3 linked regions of the Danio rerio genome follow. The protein of the gene in region 1 purifies or fractionates together with the protein of each later gene. This does not show direct contact. Links are inferred from orthologs where the notes say so. Each region holds a gene or a part of one and is shown in the gene's direction. Other genes may lie near its edges.

Region 1 (4,912 bases):
TCCTAATTTATTTATTTTCATACACTTTTATACAATTGTATTTTACTTACCCCTTTCTTTGTTTTGTTAGTCTTTTTTCCTTCTGCTGCTTATGTAGTTTGCATTTTTCCTCTTTTGTATCTCTCTTATATTGATCTCCTGATTGTGGTTGTATATTTTCATTCTTAAATAACTAAAAAAAAAAAAAAAAAAAAAAAACAAGGGCAAAGAGGCAGAGCGTGAGCGGAGTTACAGACACCAGCTAGCATTTTCCTTCAACCCTTGGCTTACACCTTCATAACCTGCGACTTGTTTGCGTTCTGACCACATGTGCTTGGTTGTATATATCAATAAAGTGTTTAGACTTTTAAAACACTGTTTTAATACACTGAGCCACTAAACATGTTCTTATGACGTTTTTCTACAGAAGGGAAAACACAAATTATATCCAAACACTTCAAATATAGTTTGAATTACTAAACGCAAGGCTGGTTATGAAATCCAGGCATAACACTATGACAGGTATGACAACGCTTCAGATGACTGTTAGCCAACAGTTAATCAATCTGTCAGATTCTGGAGTGCATTACAGCTATAATGAATATAATAAATGAACTTAAAAAAACAAATACATTTATAGAGATGGGATATAAATATATAATTTTACTCACCTGGGAAATTAAGGCCACTTTAACAGTTTGTGAGCACAATTAAGTGCACACAGCATGCCATACTATCTGATAATTGTAGGAAATAATTCCAAAAGACAAATGACTGTGTAAAGCCAAAAAAAAACAATAATAAAAATACAATGTATATGCCAAGTTCAGCAGCTAATCAGTCGGAATCAGCTGAGGTGAAGTGACGTGACCAGCAAAAGACACTCAAGTGGCCACTCCCTTAATTATGCAGACTTAATTAAACCTAATAAATGCTAAACGGATGAGTAATAAAAAAATTCAGCCCCTCACAGTTGTCATGAAGAGTAGTATTAGCTATAAGCACCAAAACCATCTATTGTACCAGGCTTTAAACATGTTTTTATCAGCTGTAAAATTGGCCAGTTTAGCATTGCAGTCAGAGAACATGTGGAGTTGCTGGAGCAAGCCCCCAGAGGAGAGTCTATGTATTTTGTATTGGCTTCCCAATGGAGAGCCGGAGGTTGCTGCTTGGTTTTTACAGCGTACATAAGACGCCCTTATTCTGAAGTGTTGTAAAAGCTAAAATATAAGATGGTTTTGGGATATACATAATAATCATATTGCTATTAGCATTATATGTGCATAATATGTGTTATACATGTAGAGCTTTGCATGGTCAAGCACCCCAATATATTCAAGATCTATGGAACTCTCTCCCTATAGCACTGAGAACTCTGGGATCAGTTGATCTTTTTAAAAAGCATTTAAAGACGCATTGTTTTGGTCAAGCATTTAATTCATAGTATTAGTGTTTCTGTATTTGGATTTTTTACTTGTTTTAATGTGTTTTAACATGTTTTCTTTTATTGATATGTGTTCTTTTACTTGTTTTCTCTAATTGTAAAGCTATTTGTTACTCAACGTCTAGGAAAGGTGCTACATAAATAAATATTTTCTTGCTTACTTACTTTTACTTTTTAAAGATTATACCTCACACATTTTGAAGGAGTTTTCTCAACACCAGCCCGCCACTAAAACAAAAGAAGAAGAAAGTTTTCGTATGTTGCTCATTTCGCTTCACGGAACGTTTCCTATAACCTTGTTTTCACCCGAGCGTGTTAGAAAGACGCAACACGGAAGTCTATCTGTTATAAGCCGCGCAAGAGGAACGTGTGTAGCGTGCGAGATTGTTTTGGTAATGTTTTCTAATTTGCTCGCTTCTTTAGTCAAAATGAGAGGGTGTAATATTTGGGGTTTAGTTTTGAGTTCGCATATAAGGAAATAATCTCGAGCTGAACCGCACTGTCACGTATTCAGTGTTACTGTATGTTGCTGTAGACTGCTTCAGTGTTACATTCTTGTGTACATTTATAGCTCAACATCTATTAAGTTACTGAGTTTTGTGTTACTTGTATTCGTTATTACGCAGTCTGAATTGCACAAACTTGTGTGTTATTAAATAAACCTCTACATTTTTTTTTCAATTCAGGCAACTCGTCCTTCATCATGATCATCCCTGTTCGCTGCTTCACTTGTGGGAAAATTGTTGGGAACAAATGGGAGGCGTATTTGGGTCTCCTTCAAGCGGAGTATACAGAAGGGTACGTTTATGAAACTAAAATGTGTCCTAAATTCGTTTGTTTATTTATTTATTTATTTGTTTGTTTGGCTAAGGAGTAAAGCACTCCTTACTAGTCCTCTTTACTAACTTTAGTCAAAATATTGTGTTTGGGGTGCTCATGCGGACCGGTTGACTGGCAGCACGAATTTTGCCAGATTAATATGATTAATGTTATTATACAGATTACTATTATTATTAACAAAATAAAGCCAGCATTGGCCTTACATACAAGCATCAAACCAAACTGAATTTAAACAGATTTATTAAAAACCTGAAAAACGACTCTAAGTTAAAGATTAATTGTGATTAGCCACATCCAAAATAAAAGTTTGTTTTGACATAAGCAATACTTGTGCATTATATATATTTATATAATTATTGTGTATGTGAAATACACTCATGCATAAAGGTATAGATTTTGCATAGATATTTAAAATTTATTATTTGCATCATATATATTTTATATGTAAATATAAATAATTATTTCCTTAAATGTATGCATCTTTATGTTTATATGTCCATAATAAGCATACACAATACACACACGTATTATGTAAAAAAAAAAAAAACATTTTTTTATGCGATTAATCACGATTAATTTTCCCCCAGCACTATGTGAAATACATCTTATAATTGAAAAACACCTGCAGCTAAAACAAACATTTTTAAGGAAATCTTTTATACATCAGCTATGACTATATTGAACAAATGACCATGAAGTAGTTTATATGTTGTTCTGTGACACTGTGAATCTGTTTGTGGTTTTAGAAACAGGGTTGTGTGTTGGTAATCCATGGTGTAGGAAGCCATATGATGTTTAGTAACATTTTGTGAGGCCAAATATGAATTTCCACATGTGTGGACAATAAAGACTGCTCATCTTTCTAATTAGAATTCTAATCTTTGGTCATACAGGCACATAGAAAAGCACCTTGTTATTTAAGTAATTCCCACAGCACTAAATTTCATTTAAAAAAAAAGTGCTGCTAGTTAATTATTATGGCTCAGATCATTATTTTGTCTGATTTTTTTCTTTTGTGGCAAGTTGCCATGTTATAAGTAAGATAATGTACTTACAATTGGCTATGCAAAAAAGCCATTCAGTCTTATAGGGCCATGAAACCTCCTTGTTTCAGAGGGTGTTTTCACACCTCTACTTTGGAAAAAGTCAGGAAAGTGGGCGTGTCCAGCTCTGTTTAGGAGGGAGTGTCGGAGGAGCAAATTAAAGAGGGTTCTGTAAAAATTTGCATAAAAATGGGAGTGTCATTTTGGGCACGTGCTGATTTTCAGAGTCAAAACACACACACACACACACACACAGGGGAGAAAGACTGACTGTGTTTACGTGGACATCAGTAATCAAATTATTTGACAAATTATTAAATGGTGGACATTAACTGCAGTTTGGCTCTTTTATTCAGGGAATATCTTCATGCCCCTCGTGACAAACGAGGTATTTGATTTGAGGAACTGCTCTAAGCTTGTATCTTTCATGCAATGTTTGATACGGCACAGCAAATGAGGGAAAAAAAACCTCTGAATTTCTCAATAACTTAGATGCACTCGGCAGGTAGGGTCAGAAAGTCGTGTGTGTTACTCCTGTCACAAAATGCAGTGAAAATCCTACACGATGGTAAGTTTGATTGTGGTGCTAACATGTTCACACTCCGTGTAACAGTTAGTTCGATACAAACTAACTTTGCCATCTGAAAAAGCAAAGGGCACTGTTCGCTCCCTTATCAAATCTGTAGAGACAGGACAAACAACACCAACTAGAGCCGCGTCTTTATTAAGAGGAGACGAGCGGCAAATCCGGATCTCACCATTTCCAGATGAGAAAAGTTCTCGGGTAAAAAAAAAAAAAAGTTCCTTAGACATGCATTGTTGTCGCATGCACTGTAATCCACACGTGGTCCAGCTGTGCGCTCATACAGAGAAAATGAAAACAAAACCTTCACTGCAGCAAATTATAAAAGCAACCCTTCACGCTTGTTTTGCCAACATAATGTGGCGTCTCTGCTGTCTGAACACTGTAACATTAATGAATGTTAGTGAAGTTGCACAATAGAGTGCGCTGATTGGTTTGAACCGAATCTTACTCGTGCATTAATGCAGCACACTTATAGACGTAATAAGACACTCCCAGGTACAGACGTCCAGTCTACACGCTGGAATACACGCTAAGATCTCATGGCCGTGACGCAGCTTAAAAAAATTGTTACAAACCGGAAGTACGAATTAGCTAGAAATAACGCAAAAACAACCAATTTTCACTTTTTAGTGAGATATATGTGTCTTAATAGTGTTTTTAGCAGTGTGGGACACTTATATGACTGTCAACAGCTCAAAAAATGTGTTTTGGTGTTTTGTGACCCTTTAAAAAATAGATTTTGTTTTTCATGAACAACTGGCTAGATGCATATTATCCTTTAAACCTTGTGCTGCAGGAGATGTTTTCATCTGCTTTGGGTGATTTTAAAGCTTAATTACGCCCCAACTTTCTCTGTTTCAGCAAATTGAATTATTTTTGGAGACAAATCTTATTTTGACACGCATTTTGGGAAAATGCTTTGAAAAGTTTTAAGACGTTTAACAATTACACTCTGGGCAAATTGACTACCCTTTCATTATGTTGCTGGCTGTTTTTACCCAATTTACTTCCATTGTAATG
Region 2 (4,932 bases), on another chromosome or scaffold:
ACCCATCACTGAAAAACACACACCCTCATTCACTATGGTTAATTTTAGCATACCATTTCACCTGTACAGCATGCCTTTGGACTGTGGGGGAAGCCGGAGCACCCAGAGCAAACGCAACATGAAGAGAACATGCAAACTCCGCACAGAAATGCCATCTGACCCAGCTGAAGCTCGAACCAGCAAACTTCTTGCTGTGGGGTGAACGTGCAACCCACTGCGCCACCCAGTGACTTCTCAACAACAACCAAATATAAGTAACTTGGGAAAACAAATATAATTTTTTTCCTCTGAATGCATTTCTGTTTTTAGTGAATCTAAACTTATATTTAAATACATTTAATTTAAATAAATATCTAAAGAAAAAAAACATTAATTAAATAGTAATTATTGCTCACAAGTGACTTAGAATTAAGATATTTGATCAAGTTTTTTTTAATTATAAGCATTAAAACATAACACTATGTATTAATAAAAATTCAGACACAAACTATATCCAAGACCATTACAATAAGTGCAAAAAGCCACATCCAGAAATAATATTAAAACAAAAACATAACAAGTAAAAATATTAAATTAAATATAACTAGTAATAAAAAAAAAAGATTGGCACACAATCAGACTACAGTGAGGGATCAGTACCAGAAAAAAAAACTTCATGAAATCTAACATCAAGTCATTTTTTTGTTATTAATTTGCATTAGAAACTTTTTCAAAGTTTCCATTTCTAATAAAAATTAATAGCATTTTGGTATACACTTCGCAAACTTCTGTTTATGAATAAAATATTAACCTTGTAGCATGTAAAAATTAACAACATACCAACATACTCTAATGAGTGTGTGTGTGTGTGTGTGTGTGTGTGTGTGCGTGCGTGCGTGCGTGCGTGCGTGTGTGTGTGTGTAAAGAGCAAATACAATCTTTTAACATGTATTTGCCCAAATAACACGTCACTAACATCATACTAAAATGTAAGAGACATCACAGTTATAGAAAAGATGTGATAAGTGTGCAAGTATTGTCAACATTCATGTATTTAGATAAGATAAAAAGAGATTAATTGATTTATTTATTATTTTATTTATTATTTTTTTATTATTATTAAACAGCAGCAAATATACAATTTAAACATGACATCCAAAACTACAAATGTAACCTATAACATAAAATAAACTAAAATATAAATTACATAAGTTAAATAAATAAAAAGACTGTAAAGATATTATGTCATGTAATGCGCTTTGGGATCATGTAATGACGTAAAGAACCGTCGGAACATGTTGAACTGTTCCATTCAGAGCTGCTGTTCAAATGAACCATTTGATGAAATGACTCTGATTTTTTCACTACCGTTCGTTTGACAGGCTGCAGACGGCGCTGTTAGTCGAATATCAGTTGTGACCATCGAGATGCCTGATTAAAGTGCGATCGTAAAACCTATTATTAAGTCAAATAATAAACTAAAATAGACTGTTTAAATGTACGTACTTTTTGTTCCAAGTGCAGATAGTTTCTACATTTTTAGTTTGAATTTTACTGTCTGCTCACTTCCGCAAATTTAGTCAAAACTAAGATGGTCAAGCGGACCGGGGTCCTAAATTGGGTCCTCGAGAATAGTAAACACTAACGTTACTGGTTAGCAAGCTGGAACAAGCTATAAATTAACAGTGACTGCGGTTTAAGGTTAATTAGATCATGGAAGACAGTGAACTGGAAAGGTATGATATTTCTAAATGTCAATTTTCCCCCTTTTGACCAGTTTATTGGACTAGTTTACGATGCAGAATATGCTAACGCCCTCGGCTTCGTGCAAATTGGTCAGTAAATTTGTGTAAACCAAAACCTGAGACGAAGCACCATACTTTTGTTATATAGCAAACATTTCGGTATCCTAGAAAAGTCTATTTTGCACCGTCAGAGATTTAAACGTGCTATTTAATTTGGGGTCACGGTAATACATAAATTAACCCGTTTCTGTCGTCAAATGTCTCACTGTAAATAATTTCCCCAGAAAAGCAGTGGAGGAGCTCCTTAAAGAAGCGAACAGAGCAAAAGCCCGTGTCGAGACAATGGGTCCTGCTGGATGGTAAGTTTGGATCACTAAATTGATAAATTACAGATATTTAAAGTGACCAATTTGAAGTCTTTTTCTATTATTAGTAACCACTATTGCCCCCACTCTTTTACACACACGCGCACACACACAAGGGTGTAACTTTGGTTTTCGGATGTGAACTTAAACCTGTGTATGTATATATACAGTACTGAGTACACCCCTTAAAGATCTGTATTTTAAATTAATATGTAGTATAAAATGCTTTACAGTAATGCATTTTGCACAAACTCTTTAGATTTTAAGGTACAAAAGCCAAAACTGTGACTAATCAAATATGCTTTTCACAATAATCAATATATCGACTTATCGCACAACACATTGACATGACATCTATCATTTTTGGTGATGTAATATATATTGCCCATATATAAAAGTCAATTCTAGCAACATTTTAGCTGATGGTGCAACCTCTTTATGTTACTGTAGTATATTTTCATGCAGGTGTCTGACAACTGAAAATAGATCTGGTAGCAGATCTTGCAGCCTCTGTTACTTTTTACATTGCACTTTTTACTACTATTTATTCAGGATATGTGTTTTCACATGCTGATTCCCCTGCCTCATTATTAAAGTTAAAATGACTATAAATTAAATGAAACATCCTTAAGAATAAAATATTATGTGGTCTTTAGAAGAGTGTACTTGCATTTTGATGTTATTATATTGTCATTTTGGCATTATATAATAAGTGGCATAAAATGGTCTCAAAATGACAATATTGTTCATCATAATATATGTTGGTGCAATATATCATACAAGAAAAAATAGATATTATGACAAGCTTATAATTAAAAAAAACTATTTAAGATCACAGTGCAAAAATCAGTACACCTTAATTAATATACTGGGGGAAAATATTAAATAATATATTAATAAACGGGAAAAATACTTTTTTTTTTTTTTTTTTGCAAAAACTTGTTTGATTGTAAGTGTATTATTTTCTATCCTCGAAGGTGTTAAATGACTGAACCATATAACTGTTCTGTTTAAATAAACCAAAGATGATTGGCTGTATTCATTGGAAAATGGCTAGAAGAAATATTTATTTTTAATTGGGTGTAATCGTTTTTACTGGTGTTTTTACGGGAGAATCTTGTGGGAGTGCGGTAACAAAAGTGTCAAATGACTAATAATTGTAGAACATTTGAGCTGGCTTCAGTCCTTAGTTCTTTCATTTTCCTTTTCATTTTATTAAAATATATGTATTTAACTTGTTTGTTAATTAAATACAGTTCTGTCATTTAACCTATTATTTTTATGCAACAGTCAAGTTGCATGCTAATTTGCTCTGTGAAGGTTACGCGATTTATGTTTAAAATGTTGGTTATCGTCCTCCAAATCAAAAGATGTATGTACAGTATGTATGTATGTATAGACATTTACATTAGATGTTGCCTACGCTTTTTTCATCTATTGAAAGGAATTTGTCGATAGAGTCGCCATTTTAGTACAGGGTAGCGCTTCTTTAAAATGAATGTGGGTTCAAGGTGCAGCGGAGGACTGGCCATCCATATATACACATATACACATTTATTTACGATCGGGGGGTTTTCCATTGGTCAGTATGCAAATATTTTATGAAATTACAAAAATTATAAGTTTACATCACTTTTCTATATTGATGGATAAATGATTGCATGGGCATTCCTGGCAAAGAGTGTGTGATTGTGTGCATGGAAATGTATTATCTACCCTCCCTGTTTAATTTGATCTAATTCATGTCCTTAAACACACCCCCTCTCCTGCTTTCACTTTTCATTCCAACGGAGGGAGGGATTCGTTTGTGAATGAATCTCTGTTAAGAAGGACTTGATCACTTAGTTGACAATAATACAAGTTTTCACAGCAGCACCTTCTTGTTATATTTCATTTACATTGTTATCTCATTTTATTCAACAAAACTAGCATAAGTCTAGAATTGAGTGCCAGTTTGTAACATACAAAAACATAAAAAACGAAATCTTACCTATGAAATGTTCTGCCTTTGTGCTTGGTTTTCTTTGTTTGCTTGTTACTACACCCGTAAGCAGTGCTAAAGTCCAGCATCTTCACATTGGCTTTAGTCTTGATTAGTGCAGTTGAATGATGTCCTGGGAGCACTGTACAAATGTGGCGGCGCAATTGACGCATGCTCAGGAACCATATGCGATAGTGTATATATCTATGGAATGTATGTATGTATGTATGTATGTATGTATGTGTGTAATTAACTACTATATATGTCTCCTAAAGCTGCTTAAATTGCCGTTTTGTTTTAGGATGAAATGTCCACTGGGAAGCACAAACAAGCGCTTTCTCCTCAACACTCTTCGTTCCTCTGCCCTGACGCGCCAACCAACAAATCCACGCACATCTGAAAGAGGAGGAGATGAACATAGGTACAACAGAGCTTGTGAAAAACATCGTAACACAGACTGTGAAAAATGCAAACACAAAAAAGACAGCTCACACAGAAGACACTACTCTGATTCCCATTCTCACACTTCAAAACGCCACTCTTCCTCACGCAGTCATTCATCATCCCGAAGCCACTCCCCTTCCATCTCTCGGACGTCAAATAGGACTCGATCTCGCTCACCAGCGAGGGACAGTTCTCCAGATGTCAAAAAATACACTGACAAAAGAAAAAAATGAGGCACCTTTGGGGATTTTTATTTTTTTTATTTGTTAGCATATCAGTCTAAATAGTTTCATTATCTAAAATGAAGCCATTATTCTAATGTCAATTTTCTTTTATTTTGCTGAACAAGTCAAATTAAAACTGCTGTGTAAAATCGATATTTTATAAACCCGGTTACTGGAGCGTTTTCATACAATCA
Region 3 (5,039 bases), on another chromosome or scaffold:
CCTTCTCGCTGTTGCTTCAGCTCCATATATCTGCGAATGGCTTTCTTGAGATCCAGAACAGTTGCAGACTGCACAACCACAATAGCTGTGGAGAGATGGGCTCCAGTCAGAATCAATTAATAAATAACAACCATTTAAAAAAAAAACATGTCAAGAAACATATGCTGTTTCCCAGATCAAGATCTCATGGGTCACTGGGAATCTGGCAAAGACATATTAAATAAGAAAACTTACGCATGACTTCTCCATCCGCCTTACAAACCCGAACAGTCATAGCCTGGCCATATTCCAGAGCCACCTGAGAGTTTACCTCCTCCAGTGTGACCTGAAAAATTCAAAGGTTCAGAAATATAGGATTAATAATTAATGCATTCAAATAAACAGTTTATTTAGGACTGGTAAATTAAATGGTTGGTTCATGAAATCTGAGAGTTCCCTCATTCTCCCTAGACAGCAATGGTTTCCAATTTGTTCAAAGTCCTGAACAATACAAATTAATCATCATCAAAACAGATCATATGCCTACAGTGGCTCAATCAGAATATTATCAAGCTACGAGAATACATCTGTGTGCACATAAAACAAAAATAACTACTTTACTCAACAGTTTCTTCTCCTCAGTGTATTGCATGTGTTCACGAGTGGTGTGCACTTATGTACTGACTATGACTTCCTTAGTTTGAAACAATTCACAGACACATTTGAGGTAATAAGCAAGTCAGAGGTGCAACCAAACGCGGCACATAAATGTGAGCATTATACTGACACAGAGGAGAAGAAACTGTTGAAAAAAAATCTGTAGAATATAGAAGATTTTAAGCTGGAACTATTACCCTCTAGTATTTACAACTACATTATCAGCTATTCACAACCTGGACAAACAGCTCTGAGGAAGATTTTAAATATATTAAACTCAAAGTGATGGCGCTTCTTGACCACCATTATATAGATAACGTACATAGGAAAACATAGTTCTCAACTTAAAAAAAAAACGTATTTTCTGTTCTACTTAAGAACAGAATCTTGGGATGTCAATTAACCGAACATTTTAATATCTGGGTGAATTGTCCGTTTAAAACAGCCCCTTGACTGCATGTACACCTGAATGGGCAGGTCACACAGAAGCGGGTCCTGCACTATGAGAGCCAGCCCTTCTTCAAAGATGTCCAGAATTTCTGAGTGTGGAAGAGCCTCCTCGTCTTCTTCCTCTTCGTGCTCCTCTTTTATTTCATCTTCCACAGTTTTCTCCTCTAACTCTTTTTTGAGCTCGGTTTCGTCCTTTATTTCGTCCATTTTATCTTCAAACGTCTTGTTTTGAGGGTATAGAAATCCAAGACTTATAAAAAAGTCACTAAGCGTTAATAGTTAACATAACTACAATTTCGTAAAAAAACTGTACGCCTTTTGCAGAAGCTTATTGTATTAAAAATTGTAACTTTAACAATTTGAGCCGTTCCAGCATTTCTTTTTACATTTCATTTTTATAAACACGCTGTCGGAATATTTCAGTGATGCACCCGACTTTAGTTCCGCATAGGTTTTTTATGATTCACATTCTTTATTACAATAACAATCTTCTATTAAAATATTTTTTAATCAGCATTAATATATTCGTTGACATTTTCATATATATTTAAGTTTAATATATACAACAGAAACAGTGTTCATCCTTGTCTATATTTCGTTTTATGGCGAGCCAATAATACAGAGGCACATTGATTGTCATGTGCTTCCTGTAGCGACTTAGAAAGGACTGTGTGTAAATACCAACTTCAGTTGCATCAGAAAGAAACTATAACTGTATTTACTACGTAACATAATCTATGACTGTTTGAAAATGCTCCTGTTTTGTCCGACATGTGGGAATGTGTTAATCGTGGAAGAAGGACAGCGATGCTTTAGATTCGCGTGTAACACATGTCCATATGTGCACAACATCACGAGGAAGGTAATGCATAACACCGGTTATGGAAATTTGTATCTAATAAGCGTTTGGAACGTTTGATTCGAACGCATTAAAGTTCGACGGAACGCCGACATTTAAAAGTTCGATTCGAATGAAACGAAAGAAATGACTTGATTCGATAATATGAGAACGTGTGAGGAACATCTGATGAGATCAATGTTTCTAACATTACAAATTATATAACAAAAATAGATTTGAGTGAGGGAGTGTTTATGTTCTATCAAACATTGCTTTCAGAGCATGATAAATAACGCTGGGTTACTGAGTAGTTACTTAAATGAAATGGTTAAATGATTATAAGATTGTATTGTACTTTAAAATGCTCTTTATTTCATCACGTTATTATATTTATGTATAAAATTTACAGTTTTAGAATAAATTCTCATTAAAAGATATTTTGAATAATGCTGGCACCCATTTTCTACCATAGTAGGAAATAAGAGTTGATTGAAGTCAATGGATCCCAGCAACATTCTTCAAAATATCTTCTTTTGTTTAACAGAAGATATAAACTTACTCAATGTACTTAATAAACCAAGAACTTCGTTTATATTATCTTGAAAACGTAGGAATTAAAAATATTTTAGAAATTTTTTAGAAATATTGTTATAGCTTCAGGTGGATAAACATCTGGATACTTAAAAGTTTATATTTGATGTCACTTCATAGATACTTATGTATGTGTGTCTTATCATCAAATGTTCATTCATAAATTGCACATACTTCTGAATTAAATCAGCCACAGTGCCACACGCAGGTTAACATTTTACCACCACTCTTTACTTCTCTTGTGTCTATGAACTCCGTAACATTACAAAACTTCCCATCATGCCACCTGTTTCCCGTCTTAAAGACACAGATGCAATTATAGCACATGACAATACTAACTTCAGAATCATAACACAAAACCTGGATAAATAAATCACCTCTATAAACTACTGACATTGTTTTTAAAAGATAGCTCTTAAAAACTCATTTTTGCATCCCCCAAAATGCTGTTGTGCAAACAAATGGCCAAAACACATACAAGTTTTCAATGCTTAGTTGGTCTGTAAATGTAATTGGCTGTTAAGTGAAAAAGTCAATTTCAAACTCTGATTAGAATTCAAAATGACGCTGTTTTAGACACTGGTAACAACTGTATTTATACAGTGACATATTAAAGAAGAGCCACTTGTCATAGTATTTTTGCTATTTATGTCATTGATAGTTTTTTTCAACATTCCGCATATATATTCTTTAAAGTCTGTGTGAAATCCAAATTTACAGTGTTTATTTTACAAGCACACAATGCTATTCTTTAGGTAAATGATAAATCCATGCAAGCTAATTCACCGAAAAAAAAAATCTTTGTTCTGATAATCTTCAAAGTCTGACCATTTGCTCTGGCGTTTGGAGTGGCAGTCCTTCTCTGATGATGTCAGTTTGGCAGATGCATCCACAATATTCCTAACCACGCCCCTCTTACCTTTAGTTGATGAGGGAATGATGTGCAAAAAGAAAGCCCCGCCCCCTACTCAATATGCAGTTTCAGTTTGAGGTCCTTCAACATACTAAAATAAGTCTCAGCAACTTGCAGTAAAATTAAAAACACTTATAAATCACCTTGAACCATCCTTGTTTTTATTAGTATCTAACAATTGAAGCTTGTTTCTATGAGGGTTAGGTTTATGGTCAGGCATAGACAGTATCATTGACCTGATAAAAAAATAGGAAAACAAACCTGTTTATGTGCTTTAACAGGTAAACAACAGAAAGTACCCCAAACTGAAGGAGGTTGATGATGTTCTTGGAGGATCTGCTGCTTGGGAAAATGTGGATTCCACTGCAGGTAAACAAATGAAACTTGAAAAGTAAAGTTTGCTCACAAACTTATGGTGGATTGACTGAGACTAGTCTGAAAGTTTGAAGTAGTTTTAAAGTTTAATTAATTGAAATAGTTTTTAAGAATTTTGAAACAGTCGGCATAGATTGATAACTACATATAGGTCAGCATGTATCTAGTATGGATTGGTATGTTTTAGTATAGATTGGTATATGGTTAGTATGTTTCTAGTGTGGATTAGATTATTATAGTATGTTTCTAGTCTGGATTGGTATATTATTAGTATGTTTGTTAGTATGTTTCTAGTATGGATTTGTGTGTCCTTAGTATGTTTCTAGTGTGGTTTATGTCTCTAGTATAGATTGGTATATTGTTAGTATGTTTTAGTGTGGGTTAGTATATTTTTAGTATGTTTTAGTATGGATTGGTGTGTCCGTTAGTATGTTTCTAGTATAGATTGGTATATTGTTTGTATGTTTCTAGTATGGATTAGTATATTTTTATTATGTTTTATGGTATGAATTGGTGTGGCCTTGGTTTGTTTTTTAATGTGGTTTATTATGTTTCTAGTATGGATTGGTATATTTGGAGTATGTTATGTTTTTCTTCCATGGATTGGTATATTATTACTATGTTTCAAATGTGGATTAATATATTTTTAGTATGTTTGTTAGTATGTATCTAGTATGGATTGGTGTGTCCTTTAGTGTGTTTCTAGTGTGGTTTATGTTTCTTGTATTAATTGGTATATTGTTAGTATGTTTTTAGTATGGATTGGTATATTTGGAGTATGTTTGTTATGTTTCTTCCATGGATTGGTATATTGTTAGTATGTTTCTAGTGTGGATTAGTATATTTTTAGTATGTTATTAGTATGGATTGGTGTGTCTTTACTATGTTTCTAGTGTGGCTTGGTATGTTTTTAGTATAGATTTGTGTGTTGTTAGTATGTTTCTAGTGTGGCTTGGTATGTTTTTAGTATAGATTTGTGTGTTGTTAGTATGTTTCTAGTGTGGCTTGGTATGTTAATAGTATAGATTTGTATGTTGGCAGTATGTTTCTAGTGTGGATTATATTCAATGTAAAGTCAATGGCAGTGTTTTTTTTTTTTTTTTTTTTTTTTTTATAATGGAAGTCTATGGGACAGTTGCTACTTGCTAGGGTGCTGTAAGTGGTTGCTAGAGTGCTGCTAGTAAGTTGAAAGGTCATCAGTGATTGGCAAAATTGGTAGTCTGGGTTAAATGAGCC

What was found. Proteins that work in one complex are often made in the same cells at the same time.
Region 2: the proteins of polr2l (region 1) and si:ch211-140b10.6 purify together in Homo sapiens (affinity purification with mass spectrometry; 4 studies listed by BioGRID and IntAct, with this or other methods). This does not show direct contact. The link is inferred for Danio rerio from reciprocal best matches to the Homo sapiens genes POLR2L and POLR1D.
Region 3: the proteins of polr2l (region 1) and polr3k purify together in Homo sapiens (affinity purification with mass spectrometry; 3 studies listed by BioGRID and IntAct, with this or other methods). This does not show direct contact. The link is inferred for Danio rerio from reciprocal best matches to the Homo sapiens genes POLR2L and POLR3K.

What each region holds. Positions count from the first base shown.
Region 1 is NC_133182.1:13,341,189-13,346,100, reverse strand, and holds the start of polr2l (DNA-directed RNA polymerases I, II, and III subunit RPABC5), read left to right. Parts: upstream 1-1,741; 5' UTR 1,742-1,815; intron 1,816-2,109; 5' UTR 2,110-2,126; coding exon 2,127-2,221; intron 2,222-4,912. UniProt on the Homo sapiens protein: DNA-dependent RNA polymerase catalyzes the transcription of DNA into RNA using the four ribonucleoside triphosphates as substrates.
Region 2 is NC_133199.1:25,556,083-25,561,014, forward strand, and holds the start of si:ch211-140b10.6 (protein POLR1D-like), read left to right. Parts: upstream 1-1,605; 5' UTR 1,606-1,692; coding exon 1,693-1,715; intron 1,716-2,008; coding exon 2,009-2,083; intron 2,084-4,371; coding exon 4,372-4,747; 3' UTR 4,748-4,932.
Region 3 is NC_133178.1:45,546,580-45,551,618, forward strand, and holds the start of polr3k (DNA-directed RNA polymerase III subunit RPC10), read left to right. Parts: upstream 1-1,712; 5' UTR 1,713-1,837; coding exon 1,838-1,948; intron 1,949-3,709; coding exon 3,710-3,797; intron 3,798-5,039. Other genes in the region: snrnp25 (U11/U12 small nuclear ribonucleoprotein 25 kDa protein), read right to left, coding at 1-85, 235-325, 1,102-1,293. UniProt on the Homo sapiens protein: Core component of RNA polymerase III (Pol III) which synthesizes small non-coding RNAs using the four ribonucleoside triphosphates as substrates. Can mediate Pol I proofreading of the nascent RNA transcript.